4 linked regions of the Caenorhabditis elegans genome follow. The protein of the gene in region 1 purifies or fractionates together with the protein of each later gene. This does not show direct contact. Each region holds a gene or a part of one and is shown on either strand. Other genes may lie near its edges.

Region 1 (5,226 bases):
ACATTCTTGTTGTCGCATGTTGATGATGCTCAATCTCAAAAAAGGCTAGGAAAAGTTATTTTTAAATTTGACCGTCGCTCACTTAAGAAACTTTAAAGTTAGAAGAAATAAAACATTACAAAATCAATAAACATGTTAAAAGCTACATTTCTTCAGTTAACCATTTTCATGTATCTCTTTTCGTTGCTGAGCTACGTTGTGTTTATGTACTCAGACGCTGTTAAAATTTCACTTCATATTATTCCAAACTCTAGCCTGTAGCTCAAATTTCAGTTGTCTAATAAAAATGCTGTCAACTGACAAAACATTTGTCGCACTATTTGGCACATTTGGTTTACTGCGAATAATGTCAAATGGTGTATTCTTGCAGACTTGCAGACATCTTGCAGACATGGGGGCCTGGAATACGAAAAGGGATCTAGATGTTATCTGCCAACTTTCAGAATGAACTGAAGCTTCTAGACCGCTTTTTTTGTGTATGAACTCTATAAAATTTTCAAAGAAAAAGCTATCCCATACGTTGAAAACAAAGTTGTTTTGTACTTTTCCGCTTCTTTATTTTTCCCACATTAATTTTGCACAAAATTCACTCTATAAGAAATTCATAAAAACAATAAACGTAAGGAGAATGCTATTCATTGATGATCCTGAATGGAATAGAATATCAAGCATCTTATCCAAAATTTTCTTAAAAGTTCAGAGCATAAGGTGTTCTACAAAAAATTTAAATGTTCCAATAGCCCCAAAAATAGCCGTTCGAGAAAAGTGATAGATAGACACTTTTCAGGATACTACAAAGTGGAAAATTGACGAGAAAATTTGGGAAACCGAGTTTAAATTGGTTCGAAATAGTCGTTTGGGTGAGCACTTCGGTGAGCAATAAAACAAATTGTTCACGAGAACCAAAATAGGATATTCTGAATATAAAGATCTCAGGATGTATACATTTCGGTAAGAAAAAGGATTTGGGGACTGTGAAAGTTAGGAAGGGATCCTAGGTGTTTCGATGTTTGAGCTGAACAATCACAAATTAACATTTCTGGTCAAAGACGAGTTTCCCGTGCGGTCTATACATTTTTTGTATTATTGAACAAAGGTATGTTTTCGGATGTTTTGCATGTAGGCAATTGCATAAATATTCGTTCAATATCCGAAAAATTCTGTAAATCTTGGTTCTTTATTATGCTTTCTAGTCCGTGTGACAGTACATATATCGTAACTTCACTAGATTTTTAAACTCCTTCTTAAGAAGTGTCCCAGCGCGCAAAAAAGTTTATGGTAGCTACCGTAAACTTTTTGCGCGCCAAGACCCATCTGAATAAATCCGTGCGCCTTTAAGAAGGAACGTCAAAATCTAGTGAAATCACGATACAAATTATATTTTCATTCCAATTGTCATTATTATTTTGAGTCAAAATTTAACTCTTCCGGGTTCCCGCAAAGTTCAAAAATCCAAAAATCAAACGCTTGACTACACTATTAGAGAGTGCATGAAATCGAGAGACACCGACATTCCATCGGGATATCGGAGTGTCGTTTGTTTGGAAACATTTTTTTTCGAAGCGATTTTTTGATTTTCGTGAACAATTTCTAGTTTTTGTAGGGTTTTCGAACTTTTTCTAGTTTTGTCAAAAGAAAAACTGATTCATTGATGTGTTATCAGTGATCTTAATTTGTTCTCTCATCTCCTCGTGATTCTATTTTTGAGAGAAATTTGAGAAAAATGTTTTGGAAGAACTGAAGGAGGTGGAGCACATAGAACATTGAAAAAGCATTCACATGTGAGGTTTCGATAGCTTTTCTTTTATCATTCACTGAGTTTTCTTTTTGATTTTTTCTCAATTCAATTGAAAAAATATTTTAATTGTTTCCATTTTTGCAGAAATGTCCTTGAAACTGGCCAAGCAACTATCTAAAAGTTCAGTTATTTCCCTCTCAAGGTTAGTGTTCTTCTACAAAAGTCGATAATTTTTTGAACTGTGATTTTCAGGCATTTCACAAATGGGCCTCGTCTACCAACAAAATTATTGCACGCAAAACCTGGATTCGTGCCAAAATATGTATCGGCAGATGAAGCCTTGGCGATGGTGAATTCAGGTTTGTATCCGAGAAATTAAAATTAAAAATCTCTAAAATTCAAATTATTTCAGATTCTGATATCTACGTTGGAAACCATGCGTCTGCTCCCAATGTTCTTCTCGAAGCACTTTGTCGTCGTGTTGATTCGGCAAATCTCAACAATATCCGAATGTCTCATCTAATTTTAAGCGGAAATTGCCCACAATTCGACCCTAAATATCACGGTGAGTCAATTTCAAGTATTTTAATTTTTAAATTTACTGCTTTCAGGAAAAATTCAAAACAACAGCCTGTTCATTTGCCCGGGAAATCGTAAAAATGTTAATTTGGGCGCCGCTGACTACACTCCGATTTTCCTCTCTGAAGTTCCCTCTTTATACACAAGTGGAACATTGAATGTTGATTTTGCACTGATTACTGTCTCTCCACCTGGTAAGAATTTAAATTTGATTAAAAGTCGCCATAAAAAAAAAAGCGAAAACAGGGTTTTGTGATTAACAACTTTATAAAAATTAAAAATTTGTTTTTTTTTCTATTTCAGATGAGCTCGGATTCTGTACACTTGGAGTCGACATTGACACAACACTGGCTGCAGCGACTAGTGCCAAAAAAATTATTGGTAAAAATAAATAATCAATAAGTTGCAAAAAAATATTTTTTCAGCCCTTGTCAACAGCACAATGCCCCGTACCCGAGGCCACACTACTGTCCATTCTTCTCATTTCGCTGCAATGGTTCAAACGGATCGACCAATCGCTTTCCGTCAGTCTGGTGGAGAAGAAATGTCTGAAACCGAACAAAGAATCGGAAAAATAATTGCCGAGAACCTTGTCGACAACGGAGCCACCCTTCAACTCGGCATCGGAGCAATTCCAGACTCGGCGTTGGCAGCGATGAAGCAGCACAAAGATCTTGGAGTTCACACGGAAATGTTTAGTGATGGAGTTATTGATTTGATTGATCGTGGAATTATTAATAATCAAAAGAAGGCTTTTATGCCAGGAAAAACTGTTTCCTCGTTTGCTTTTGGAACAAAGGAATTTTATAAGAAAATCGATAATAATCCAGAGTTTTGTAAGTTTTTATTTTACCAATTGTAAAAGTGATTTTAATTTTTTTAAAAATAACTTTAGAACTGTGCAAGGATACCACAGATATCCGTTTTTGCTGTTAAAATTAATTCAACGATTTTTTAAAATTTTTTAGATATTTTTTGTTGGTTTTATGAGCGAAACAGAAAAATCGGAAAAATACAAAAATTTTGTAAAAACGAAAAAAATTCCAAAATTCAAAAATGTCCCGATGAGGGAAAAACGAAATCTCGAAAATTTGGAAAATTCCGATTTTTCGAATTTTTTAAAAATGGAAAAATCGAAAAAAAAATGTTCAGAAAATTAACCATAAAATATGATTTTTATCTAATTTTGTTTTTTATTGATAATAAATAAATAAATAAATTGATTCTAAAAAGAAAAACAATGACCAAAATTTTAAGCTAATTTTTGAAAAATCGAATTTTATAATACAAATTTTTAAAAATTGAAAAACGAAAAGCCTTCGATTTTTCTTTTTAAAAACCGCCACCCTTGGTCCCAATTATGTGTTCATCAGAACCGTTACAGAGAAAATTGTTTTTTTAATCAGAAAAATTTTTAAAAAATTAATTTTCAATTTGGATCAAGAAATATATCAAAAAAAAATTGTAACTACAGAAACCCAAAAAAAAAAAAATTCGATTTTTTCCATCTTCCAACTAAAAACCCAATCATACTTTCAGATTTTGCCCCATGCGACTTCACCAATCATATCGACATCGTCCGCCGTAACAGTAAAATGACATCAATCAACTCAGCGATTGAAATCGATTTGACGGGACAAATCGTATCGGATTCGATTGGACGCAATTTTTTCAGTGGATTCGGTGGACAAGTCGACTTTATGGCTGCCAGTCCACACGGATTTGATGGACTTGGAAAGGCGATTATTGCATTACCATCGAGAACCACTAAGGGACAAACGAAAATTGTTCCATTCTTGACACAGGTTAGTTATAAACGGAAGCTATATTGAAGGTTAAAGTTCAATTTTCAGGGTTCTGGAGTGGTCACGACACGTGCACATGCCAGATACATCGTTACCGAGCATGGCATCGCCAATCTATGGGGAAAATCAATTCGTCAAAGAGCCTATGAGTTGATTCAAATCTCTCATCCGGATGATCGTGAAGCTCTCGAAAAGGCTGCATTTGATCGATTCAAAGTGATGCCATCTGCGTGAGAAGCGAATCAATTGCAGCTCCCTCAACTACTGGGTATAATGGTTACCGAGTGCCCGATTAAATCTAGTTTTCATTTCTTTGTATTATACGGTTCGACTTCTGATGTGTTTTCTTATTGCACATAGGTTAAATTATAAAAATGTTATTTTTGAAACTTCACACTACAATAATTTATTTGGAGGTTATCTGAACATTTTGAAGGAGAGTCGGGCGAGTGTGGAATCTACAATTATAAAACATGGATGTAATGAAAGCATACAGGAAAAGAATCATGAAGAAATATCAGAGGCAATTCTAAAGTTGACAAAAAAAAAGAGAGATGGAAGTGATCAAGTGGGAACAGTACACATGTGAAGATGGGGAGTGGTGGGACAAACACAATTAACCGATCACGATCACGTACAATTTTCAAATCACTTGTTCATCGATGTGGCTATCCGTGGTGGATGTTCGGATCGGAGCCCTGAAACCCAACACAATTTAAGAGGATTTTAGTGCTAATAGCATAGTAAGAATTACTCGACTACATAAAACGTTATAGTTAAAAACGGTATCTTACCGAATGTTGTGCATTTGGATAGGCTTGAATGATCAATGGTGGAGCAACTCCCGAAGATGGTGGAACTTGACTTGCTCTCTTGGACTCATGATCGATTCCACATTTAAACATATCGAAAAGCTCTTTCTGGGTTCCACCAATCGCCTCATAGGCAACTTTCCACAAATTGGAGGTTGAATTGTTCCGTCCCAATGCTAACTACATTGTCCAGCGAGCATTTTGATGAGGCCGGGGCATTCCAGTGAAGTCAGGAGACGAATTGTTTCCAGCCAAAAGGGGACGTTCTCTGAAGTGATAGGGTGAGATACCT
Region 2 (4,868 bases), on another chromosome or scaffold:
CGAAAACTGTTTCTACAGTATTTCATGCAAAAAACTTTCAAGTACAATATCATCTACAGCTACCCCATGATTTTCGAATTAAATTTTCAATTCGTCAAATCTCAAAACGTTTTAGGTATATGAAAAAAATTTCACAGTAGTCGCAAACAAAGGGCAGATATTTGTATTAAGAATGTTTTGAAACTTTTCATTTCCCTTCAGAAGAGCTAATGTTTCATTATTTTTCAACATTTGTTGATTTTCAGAAAGCAGCATTATTGTCAAAGAAAGAATTAATATTGACAATTCAAGTATTATGTGTTTCTATATTTCATGTTATTGGGTATTTGACATGGGAATATCTACCAATTCCATGGGAATTACCAATTGGAGTGTTCATTGGACATGTTGTATGGATGATTTGGAATTCAATCAATTCAATGCTTTATGTATTAATTAATCCGTAAGTTTTAGAACTTTGGTTGACTGAAAACATTTTTAAAAAAAGTTGCAGTCGTATTCGTAACCTGGTATTAGCATCAATTGGAAAACAAACAGAAGTCAGTGGACGTACAATGTTTGTTGCTTCGCACGTATCAACAGTTCGACAATCCGGAGCTAAAATGTAGTCAGGTCTTCAAATAAAATATAACTTTTAGTTTTTAGAATTTAAGAAATAGAAAGATATCATTAGAAAAAATAATTATGTCTAGAAATAAAAACAATTTATTTCTTGTCATCGATTTCCAAACATTTATTTATAGGTCCATGAAATCTAGACACAGAAATCTTTTTACATGAAGCCTAATTTACTGCTAACAACTGAAATGAGAGGAAACAGATCCTCTCGATATTTTCAATTTTAAGGAATATTCTGCAAGTATAGGTGGACAGAGTAAAAAAGCTTTTGTCAAAGTAAAACATTGATAAACTGATAACACACAGAAACAAATAAAAACCGTCGTAAAACAGAGACACCATCACTTCATAATAAAAATGTTTGTGTTTTGTTATCAAGGGAAACTACCGATTGAATTTTTTTTTGAAATTTTGAAGATTTTCTGGCAAATCGAGAAAAAAAAATTAATGTACGTATATCTCCAATTCGAAGCTTTGATTTTATTATAAGAACAGAGAAACATTAGATTTTTATTGGTTTTTGAAACACCAACACAGATTTCAAAGTTATATAATATTTGCGATATTTAAAATCGATTTCAAAGTTCTTTTTATTTTCTACTTCTGATTTTTTTTCGATTATTAATTCTTTCATCTACAAGCAATAAAAACACAATAATATTTGCCTCGTTATCAAATTTATCTTATCAATTGAAAAATTGAGCAACACTGTTCAATTTGACCAGTCTAAAAGACATTTTTCATTGAAAAAGTTGCCAATTTCTGAGTGTATTTTTCCAAAAATGTTCAAGATTTCAAAGTTCACAAAATAATACTTATAAATGCATAAACTCATGCTCTCCTCATCCATCGTTTTCCTGTGATTATCTCAAAAGTTTCTATTTTTAGTGTTTTTTGGTTCCTTGTTCATTTTTTATTTTGTGTGATTTTTACGTCTCGAATAAAAAATATTAAACAAAATGTTAGAAATTGAATTTTACAAGACTATCGACTTGATACAATACATCGACGAATTGTGTGAAATGACCGACGGAAAATCACTTGGTAAGTAATTTCATTTTGAATTTTTTTAAATTAATTTTTCAAGCAATCCCGGAATAAATATAATTCATTTCTATTCTTTAAAATTATTTATTGAACTAGACATTCCACCAGGTCGAGGCGTTACGGGGGCACCTCTTCCCCGCCTCTAACCTCACCCACCTCGCTCCTTGATTTGGAAAACCCTTTTTTGTGTATTTAACAAATGAAAACTACTACAATAATGAACTAAAATAAACTGCAAGTATAAAGCTAAACATTTTTAATTTTCAGCCATTATATCGGTCTCTGACAAGACAGGACTTATTCCTCTTGCTCATGGACTTGTATCTGCTGGCTTAACACTTATTGCGTCCGGTGGAACAGCGAAAGCGATCAGAGATCAAGGAATTGATGTTCATGATGTGGCAGATGTAACAAAGTTTCCTGAGATGCTTGGTGGAAGAGTTAAAACTCTGCATCCTGCCGTTCATGGAGGAATCTTGGCAAGAGATACGGAAAGTGATCGAAAGGATCTAGAGGTGAGATAGCTTATTTTCTTTTTTTTTTGAATTTTTTTTATTTGTAAACTAACTTGTTTGTTGTCGAACCGTTTTCAACTGAAACTTGCAAATTATATTAAGTGGAAATAAATAAATTTGCAACATTTGTGCAAAACAATTCTGACAAAAGATCGGATTTTGTAGAACTTCCGGGAATCTCACAAAATGAACTTTGTACTGGCTTGAAAGATTTCACCATTACTTAGTTTAATCGAATTCATGATTGAATAGAATGAAGTGAAGAAAAAAAACCAAAAAAAGAAGGGCTAACGGGTGACAAAAAGTTGGTCCTTTCGTCAGATGAAGAAGGCTTATCTCGTGAAAATAAAGAGTTGAGAAGGAGACAAAAAGAAGATTAGAAGACAATTTTTCGTCCTCTTTTTCTTCATTTTGTCGTCACGACTTCATTCAAATTTCAATTCTTATTTCGAATTATATAATTTTTTTTTAAATAAACATTATATCTCGCTTTTGTTTAAAAAAAAAGTTAGTCTAATCTGAAACTTTGACAATTGTTTGTTAATTTTTTGAAGTTGGATTACAATTTTTTGGAAAACGGGTTAGAGAGTTTTTTCGGATTTTTTTGAATCAATTTTTTGTTACTTGCGCATTTCGCAACCTATGTCTTGCCTCTTGTTGGGATTAAAGTGCCAGCCCTGATGGCTAGAACACTTTGAGACAAAGTTGAGATATGTCACCTTTAAAATTAAATTATTAATTAGAAACCGAAAAAAAATTTCATAAAGTTAGCGTTCAGTTGAACGGAGAACGGCAAAATATTAGTCAAAAAACTTTGTTTGCCGGAAAATTGTATTACAGTCATATTGCATTTCAGGATAAACATTGAATCTCTGAGATAATCAAAAAATAATACTCCAGGAACATTATATTATTTGAAATTCTATTGTGTATTTTTAGAAATATTTTATCAATTCAGAGTGAAAATAAGATTTTTGTGAGATAATCTGTAAACCTTCAACTTTCGTCATCAACCATAGAGTAAAATTAAACTTGGAACATCCATAAAAATTGGCGTAAAAATCAACGAACACAACTGATTGGGGTGTTGTTATGATGCACCGAGAGCAAGCCTACGTGTCAGTTTCTACCGCCCGTGTCTATTCAATTACCTTCTCTTTCTATTTTCAATTGAATTTGTTTCATCTTCTTTTCCTTCCTTGTATTTTTTGGTTATTTTCTTTCTTCCAGAAACACAACATTTCATTCGTCTCAGTGGTGGTTTGCAACTTGTATCCATTCAAAAAAACTGTTCAATCCAAGGATTGCTCTGTAGAAGAAGCTGTTGAGAACATTGACATTGGTTCGTTTATTTCTTTCTTTTTTTGAGTTTATTCATCCGGAAAATTGACTTTGTTTTATGTTGCCATCTTTCTTTTTCCCCTTGTTCCTTTTGATTTCAATTTATGCACTTGACTTATTTTGCTCCTTTCGTGACTTCTAACCCTAAACCAAACATCAACATTTTTTCACAGGAACAGCTTAAATTGAAATCAGAAAATCATTTTAGCAGAACTTCATAACCAAAACATACGGCCTAGATTAAAAAGTTGAATTTTTTCAAATTTAAAGTGTTCATCCTGTTTTTAAATAAGTTACCAAATATTATAGTTCATTGGAATAGCATATAATTTTAAGGGGTGTAATTCTACTTCAAGCTAATAATTCAATCAAGTTAAAACGGATGTTCGTCAATGAAATAGACCATTCTTGCATTTTCAAAGACTTACAATGTTCAATTGAAAATAATTTAAACATTATCAAAATATATTTTTTGTATAAAAAATAATATTTCGGTCGCCTTCCATTATTATGATAGGGGGAAAATTGTCACTTTTGGATGAAAATAAAAATTCAAGATTTTTGATAAGTTTTACTATGTTATGTAATTCGTCATTTTAGCATTAGTGAATGATTTAATAATTGGCAATATTATCACATACAATACTATGATCAAGTAGTTTTATTTGAGCTAATTGAAATATCAATTTCGTGAAATTGGGCACGTTCAGGTTCTGAAAAATCGTTCTCTACTTATCACTGTGAAAACATGTATGTATTGTTCTTCTCCCTTCCTAAATCCTTTCTGACACCAAAACAATTATATTTTCTTCTTGTTCGTCTTTTTTAGTTCCTCAAAATATAAATTCAATTAACACGGAAGCTGGAGAATTCACAAAAAAAGACAATACAACCAACAAAAAACTGAGAAAATAATAATTCGTTTACACTTTCATTCTATACTTCCTCTCAATAAGTTCATATAATCTGTGATCATCTTCAGAAAATTCTTTCAGAAACATTTAAAGGAGCAAATCTTACGAATGCATCATTTCGTAAAGCTTGAGCTCTAGTTTTTGGTATCATTGAAATTTCCATATTATAACTTCTAATCGAATGGTTTTTTTAATATTAAAAAAAGGATAAGGTTATAGACATTTTATGATCTTAGCACAAAGTACAAAAAAGTGGAAATATTCGTTCAATTGTACCCATTGTATTTGTTTTTCCAACCGTTTCCTACATTTTTATCCCATTAAAAGGGCTTTTGTTTCATGAATCTTTCACCTTTTTTCCTGTTTTTCCGGGTATGTAAAACCCGCCCAGATTTTTTCTAGAATCTATATCACAATATAAACTCATATTCTT
Region 3 (3,342 bases), 9.0 Mb from region 1:
GAAGGAGAAAATGCGATTTAATCGATGAAGTTTCAATTTTTTTTAATGAGACATTTTTGAATGATTAAAAGGACATCTATTTGTTATACATTTTAAACTCCGCCAGTCGTTGGCCGCGCCGGAGGCGCGGTCATCGGCTGGTTATCGAATAAAATGTCACGATTTGAAGTTTCGAAGTTTGTAGTTTGTAGTCTAGCAGACCAATTTTCAATACATCTCTGGAGTCACTTGGATTTCTCTGAAAAATATTTTTTAAAAATGAGGAATATTTGGAGATTAGAAGTGAAAATTTTGTAAAAATTGCTTTAAATCGAGATTTTCCAGGCTAAGGAGTTAATTTTCAGTGAGAAAACCGTCTGAAAACGCAAAAAATCCAAGTTTTTCAATTAAAAAACCCATTGGTCTGCTAAATCGAAATTTGTAGTTTGTAGCCTAGCAGACCCATTCTCTTCAAAATCACTTGGGTCTGCTAAATCGAAATTTGTAGTTTGTAGCCTAGCAGACACTTGAATCATCTGATTTGTCTGAAATTCTGAAAAAATTCGCGTTTGATTTGACTGTGAAACAACAAAAAAAAATCGAATTTCTAACTCAAAATTTACTCACAATTTCAAAATTCACACGATTTTCCCGCTAGAATGCCGAGAAAAACGTGGTTGAGAGAGGTGATTTAACAGAAAAAGACGAAAAAAAAGGGCGCGGAAAATTATAATTTTGAAGAATTCGAAGAATCTAATGTTGCTTCATTTGGTATGGTGGAATGAGTCCGGATGTCTCGGCGCGAGCCTTCTTCTCTGCCTCGATCTCGTCCAAATATGGCTTCAAGTACCACGATTCCTGAAGAAAAATAGATTTTTTAAAGTTGAATTTCGAGTGAAAAGCTACCTGATCCCATTGAGTCCATTCAGCCTTTGGAAGCTTCTCGCCGTGGAGAGCCAAAGTGTGGGCACGTGAAAGACGGATCTGAAGTAAAAAAAGATTGAAAATTCCAATTTTTAATCGATTTTCTCACCTTTCTCTGATCGAAAACGTGTGGCTCCTGGAGATTAAGGCGTCTGAGAGCCTCGGTGACTTCTGGAGCCGGCTCAAAGTAGGTGTCGTGGAATTGGAGCCCGTACTCGCGTCCTCCCCACAAGTTGCTCCATGCGAACTTGCGAAGCGTGCTGGCGATCGTGCCGTTGTAGGCGAAGGTGACGGCTTTTGAGGCGGCTTGACTGGCCATTTCGTTACCTGAAAAGAAAAAAATAAAAGAAAATTAGTGGGGAATTCTGGGGAAAAGCTGAAGAAAAACTGAAAAAATACAAGTTTTCACATGTTTTTCGGGAAATATCGATTTTTAGCTCAATTTCTCGGATTTTAAATGATTTTCTTGAGATTTTTTACATAAAGTCACTTATAACAAGCAAAAAATTAGGCAAAAATGCACAATTATCATTGAAAACTCTTAAAAATCCGGCAAAAACAAAGATAATGCAAAAAATTCTCAAAAATCAGATTCCAAGCGATTTCTCGAGTTATTTTACAAATTTACGCATTAAAACTGTCAGAAAACCTCATAAAGCTGATTTTTGTGCTTAAAATGCAAAAAAAATCGGAATTTCCAGCTAAAAATCAAAGAAAACCGAATGAAAAGGAAAATTATGAATTCGGCGGTGTCGCTAAACAACACGCAGGGTGTTATTTCGGAGCATCGTTGTGAACAAATTTTTGGAAATTAATTTTCTCAAGCTTTCAAGCATTGAGAACCTAATTTTTTGAAGTTAAAATACACATTTTATGATGGTTTTTTCTAATAAACTAAAGAAAAATTTCATAGGAATCGATTAAAGGGAAATTGAAGTATTTTATTTTTAACTAACGCCATGTAGCAGATAGATAATATGTTTTTTCAAAGTTTACTATGTTAAAATACTCCTTAGAACTTGATGAATTCAGATTTTTCACCAGAAACGTTGCCGGATGAGTATTTTGTGAAAAAAAAATAAGAAAATTGGCTGAAGTTTGATTTACGGTAAACAACACGCGCCTCGTTATTTCGGAGCTTCGTTGCAAGTGATTTTTTTTCGATAATTTTTTTTTCGAATTAATTAATTTTTTCATTAAATTGAACCGATTTCTATTGATTTTCTATTTTAAAATTGCGAAAATAAACAAATAAAAAATTTTAGTCGTTAATCTCTCAACTTTCACCCGTCAATTTTAATGTTTTAGGTCAAAAAATGGAGACAGTTATCGAAAATCGGGATTTGGACGGGTTAAAGGAGGTTGTGAAGGCGGAAAAAAAGACTGCGTGAGTTTTTAAAAGAATTATCAGATAAATAATGCAATTTTACAGGAAAGACGACGAATTTGTGCTTCTAAAAGTCGACGGGTTTCTGAAAAAGCGGGGATTCAAGGTCGCCGAGCAGCCTTCAGCCACCAAGGAAGAGCTTGCAAGGCGGCATTTTCATTTTGTGATGAATTGCTCCAAGCTTGGTAATTATTTTCTCGAAATTTCGTTTAAAAATGAGTTTTTTGCAGGTTTGTGCTCCAAAAACACTCCCCTGAGCACTCTACAGGACCTCTTGGAGATGAGCTCAATTGAGGAGTGTAAGCAGATTTTCAGCATAGTAGAAGAGAATATGAACGAGTTTAAGCAGGTAAAAAGCCGGTTTTCAAAGAATTTTCCCGATAAAAAGCGGATTTTTTGCAGCCCGGCTTCATTGAAACCGCCCAGAACAATATTCTACGCTTCTGCAACGATTTGCTCCGCCGCTTGAGTAGAACCGCTGAAACATCGTTCTGCGGAAGAATTATGTTCTTTCTCTCGAGGTAAAAAGCGAAACATTTTCGAAAAATCCCAAAATTTCCTGCGAAAAACTCAATTTTTTCCAGATTCCTCCCGCTAACCGAAAAATCCGGTGTAAACTTTATGGGACACTTCAACACGCTTAACGTTACCAACTACGACGAGGTATTTTTTCGGTTTTTGGACTGAAAAATCGCAAAAAATCGCAAAATTTCAGTCTGAAACCGACGGTGAAGCTCTTCTCGCTGCCACGTCATCGGCTCCAACACCTACGGAAGGAGCAGAGGATATGGAAACTGGAGAAATCGAAGAGGATAACTCAAAGTACGGAAAAATCGGAAAAAAGCGAGAAATTTCCACTGAAAAATATCATTTACCTGAATTTTTTGGGTCTGCTAGACTACAAACTACAAATTTCGATTTAGCAGACCCATGTGGTTTTGAAGAGAATGGGTCTGCTAGACTACAAACTACAAGTTTCGATTTAGCAGACCCATGTGGTGTTGTAGAGAATGGGTCTGCTAGACTACAAACTACAAATTAGCAGACCAAAT
Region 4 (3,859 bases), 9.4 Mb from region 1:
CCTCCAGGACTTCCTGGTCAATGCGGACCACCAGGGCCACCTGGATATACACCGCCTCCAGGACCACCAGGAACACCTGGAGTTCAGGGAGAAGCTGGACAGGATGGAGAACCAGGGGTACCTGGAGTTACTGGCTATCCAGGAGTTCGTGGGCCACCGGGGCAGGATGCTGAATATTGTCCGTGTCCACCAAAGAACGCAGGAGTCAATCGGAATAGTTATGTGCAGCCGGCACCAGGTAGGCTACTTTTTTCCATTAAGTAGGCGGGGCTGATATTACGGCCTAAAAAAACTCAAATTTCAAATTTCAACATATTTTTTACAGTGTCCACAAGCTACGCCACAGCATCCCAAAGCCGTTACGTGTCAGAGTACAATAAAGAGGATGAGTACAGGAAACGAGTGCTGGCTCGAGTGCTCAAGAAGCAGAGACGACTACTTTTGGCGACAAGAGCAAAGAATGTTCGCCGGAAGCCTGTTAGTCACGCTAGTCCGTAATTATTTTTATTTTTGTGAAATAAATTTGTATAAACTTTTTCACGGACGTTTCCAGAAAGTATACTGTCCCAAAAATTTTAATTGGGCTTCGCATGGGCCCCGCCCACAAGGCTCGGACAGAAACCCTTTGTGAACGGGAAGATTTTTTTTCTGGAAATTTTAGAATTTTTTCTGAAATTTTCTTTTGGCAAAATTCCTAATGAAATCAGTCATTTTGTGGGTGGAGCTTATGAGTGTAATAGCGAAATTGCTTGAGACCAGGACGAATTTTTTATAAACTTTATTCTTCACAAAATACAAAATACAAATTTCATATATTTATCATTTCTTCTCCGTGCTCTTCAAGAATTCCAGAACCTTTCCGGAAAACCATTTGGGATATTTCAAATAAAAATCGTGTCCTCCTTGTGCATGAATCTCAACTTTTGCCAAACTCTTGAGCACTGGGATGAAGCATACATTCGGGTCACCACAGAACCGGTCCAATCCACCATTCATCACTAGTGTCGGGCATTTGACTTGTGGAAGTACCAGGTCACACGGGAAACGGCCACCGCAGAACGAGTGAACTCTGAAAATTCGTTTGGTTAGGTAGGAAGCAGACGTAGGTCGCCTTGAAGGTAGTTGGCAGACATATTTGTGCCTACAGGAATATACACAACTTCGCATAAGCCCCGCCCACAAAACTCACTGATCTACGACGTCACAAAGTGCCGCCCATTGTGTCCGGAGTGTTTCCGGCGAATAATGGTCCAAATATGGTTGACGACCGGCTGCTAGCCAATGATTTGTTTCACGCATTCCTGAAATTCCAAAAATTAATTTATAAAGAGCACAAAACCAATAGATGGCCACACCCATAAAATGGACGTTCGATTTATTTTCCCATAAAAAATCTTGTAGGTAGGTAGGCATAAATTGCTGCTTCTATGTGGAAAAATGGGCCATATTGGTGTCAAATTAAGAAATTTCATTAAAAAACAGTAATCTTCCAAATATATCTAAATATCTCACCCTTGAAAGCCATGGCTCCTAGATGATTAACTTTTGTTGCACCAGCCATTACAATCATTCGATTCACTTTTTCCTTTCCTTTAGCTGCCACGTGGACCGTTGTTCTAGCACCTTCTGACCACCCCATCACGGTGAACGGCTCTAGTTTCAGGGTCTAAAATTTGGAGGCTTTTTGAAAACGTAAAAATTTTAATTTCAAAATTAAAAGCTCACCTCCATTAACCCTAGGCAATATTCACTATCCTTCATACATCTCTGAACTTCTTGTTTTCGCTCTGGAGGTCTTGAGGTACCGTAACCTGGAGGATCAATCCCAACAATTGTGACCTGATCTGGTGGGAAATGAGAGAGCAATTTGAGTGGCCAATCTTTTTTATAGCAGCCGACAGCACCGCAAATCGCGAGAATGTAGTTCGGACCGTGGCCGTATTTACAGTAACCGATTTGAGTGTCCTTGATGTGTTCCGAACTTTCGATATAGTCGCTTTGAGTCATTTTTCTTTTGCTGAAATTTATTTAGGTGTTTAATTTGTTAATTATGAGGTAGCGACGGTGAGGAAATTTTCCGGATAATATAAATGTTTGAGACACCTTTGTGACCTTTGAGACCGCACACCTTTGAAGTACATCTCCCCGATTTCTTCTATCCTAGAAAGAGACGTAACAAGGGTCAAGGTTCAAATGTATTGCTAAGAGAACGCCTCTTGTGGTGTGGTAGTACTACAGTATTTACAACCTACTAGTACAGTAGGTCGTATATATTGTTATTGTCGATGATTTACAACCACCGGATTGACCTAGAATTAACATAGGTATTTGAAATCGGTTTAGGCCAAATAATTATGGTTCCGCGACATTTATAGAATTCGGAATTTTCTGAAGAGCGAGAACATGTATTGTGAACCTCTACAATATTTAAATACAGAAATGTAGAGTACAAAACATTGTTTTTTGATCGACTTCCAGAATTATGATACGTGAAAACTGATAGTGAATATTAAATTATTCGAAAATCGGACACATGGAATTATTGATCTCAAAAATTCGGTGAAATAGGCTAAAGAGGAAGGAAAACCAAAGAGGAAATTTTAAAAGTGCATGTATTTGAATGACGAATAGTTCTACGAAAAAGATTTTGAAAGTCCGATAGGAATGAGAAATTTGTAGCCTACAGATTAAGATTTCAGAAGGAATTTGGACAAGACCGGATTAATTTTGTGCCTGTAAGCTGCGGAAAGTTCTAGAACCATCTGGAAAATACGAGAAAGTTTTGGAATGTTCTAAAACCTTCTGAAAAATTAGATAGAATTCCGGAATGTTCTAGAACTATCTGGAAAATACGAGAAAATTTTGGAAGGTTCTGGAACCTTCAGAATAATTCGAGAAAATTTTGGAAGATTCTAGAAAGGTAATAAAAATTATTAAAAAAAACATAACCACTAAAACACCGAAACATCTAGTTATTTGTAATATAAATGTGTAGTTTCTAATAAAAAGGAACTATGAAACAGTAAAGTAAACCTTTTGATTTATACTGGGAGAGTATGCAGATTTCAATCTAGGATATGAGGGTAAATAGGGAATAACAGGTGAAAGTGTACAAACGCAGTCGGAGGAAGATGTTGTTAAGATGAAAGAAGAAGGAGAAGAACACAGGCACTTGGACACACAGAGGGAAATAAATGGGAAATGAAAGGGAAAAGGGATATGGAAGAGACAGAAAATTGTTCCTATTGTCTGAAGGTATTGTATAAAACCGCAAAGAGGAAATTGATGATCGAATCATGTGATTTTGCGGGGAGTGCTGAAAGCATTTTTTTCAGATTTGTCAAGCTTGGGTCTTTGATCTTTTAGGACAACACAGTTTTACACATCTGGAACAATGCGGCTTCACCCATGTTGTCGAACACAAATAAATTTTTATGAACCAAATTTAATCAATAAAACTTGAAAATTACAATATTAGAGAAAAACTTGAAGACGATTTTCTCATTTTCCAGTATTCCCTTGTTTCCGTGTCAATGTCCAAGACTCCACTTCCACTGGATCTCCAAGCGGCTCCCATTGATCCGTGAGCTGTCCTTGTCGATCTCTGAATACTCTAGCTCGTCTTAGGATTCTTCTATATACTGTCGCAGGGTACTATGTGTCGCAGTGTTCATTGGGGTCCTGCCGGTTGACAACTTGCACAGGGACTCTATCAAAGTTTTGATCATGAAATACAGGTAGTTGTTGCGCTGTTCCCTGGAAGATTGGATTGATTGAACAATTTTTTTAGCATCACCTTTTTAAAATATCAGTTTTTAACTGGTCGGTTAAAAAATCCATATATGCCTGCCACCCGATA

What was found.
Region 2: the proteins of ZK1320.9 (region 1) and atic-1 fractionate together in Caenorhabditis elegans (co-fractionation; one large-scale study listed by BioGRID). This does not show direct contact.
Region 3: the proteins of ZK1320.9 (region 1) and T02H6.11 fractionate together in Caenorhabditis elegans (co-fractionation; one large-scale study listed by BioGRID). This does not show direct contact.
Region 4: the proteins of ZK1320.9 (region 1) and K01A2.5 fractionate together in Caenorhabditis elegans (co-fractionation; one large-scale study listed by BioGRID). This does not show direct contact.

The regions. Positions count from the first base shown.
Region 1 is NC_003280.10:9,683,370-9,688,595, reverse strand, and holds ZK1320.9 (Acetyl-CoA hydrolase), read left to right. Parts: upstream 1-1,882; 5' UTR 1,883-1,884; coding exon 1,885-1,940; intron 1,941-1,990; coding exon 1,991-2,097; intron 2,098-2,150; coding exon 2,151-2,303; intron 2,304-2,349; coding exon 2,350-2,511; intron 2,512-2,620; coding exon 2,621-2,698; intron 2,699-2,742; coding exon 2,743-3,153; intron 3,154-3,856; coding exon 3,857-4,122; intron 4,123-4,170; coding exon 4,171-4,356; 3' UTR 4,357-4,508; downstream 4,509-5,226.
Region 2 is NC_003282.8:7,880,427-7,885,294, forward strand, and holds the start of atic-1 (Bifunctional purine biosynthesis protein ATIC), read left to right. Parts: upstream 1-1,601; 5' UTR 1,602-1,640; coding exon 1,641-1,662; intron 1,663-1,932; coding exon 1,933-2,180; intron 2,181-3,410; coding exon 3,411-3,522; intron 3,523-4,868. Other genes in the region: srt-73 (Serpentine Receptor, class T), read left to right, coding at 246-442, 494-608.
Region 3 is NC_003280.10:699,896-703,237, forward strand, and holds T02H6.11 (Cytochrome b-c1 complex subunit 7), read right to left. Parts: upstream 1,231-3,342; 5' UTR 1,223-1,230; coding exon 1,013-1,222; intron 964-1,012; coding exon 886-963; intron 838-885; coding exon 733-837; 3' UTR 587-732; downstream 1-586. Other genes in the region: thoc-1 (Death domain-containing protein), read left to right, coding at 2,220-2,290, 2,336-2,475, 2,521-2,639, 2,693-2,811, 2,875-2,953, 3,006-3,112.
Region 4 is NC_003280.10:300,563-304,421, reverse strand, and holds K01A2.5 (AB hydrolase-1 domain-containing protein), read right to left. Parts: upstream 2,018-3,859; 5' UTR 2,008-2,017; coding exon 1,726-2,007; intron 1,667-1,725; coding exon 1,513-1,666; intron 1,302-1,512; coding exon 1,190-1,301; intron 1,070-1,189; coding exon 820-1,069; 3' UTR 763-819; downstream 1-762. Other genes in the region: col-69 (Nematode cuticle collagen N-terminal domain-containing protein), read left to right, coding at 1-238, 326-498; K01A2.6 (AMIN domain-containing protein), read right to left, coding at 3,655-3,756.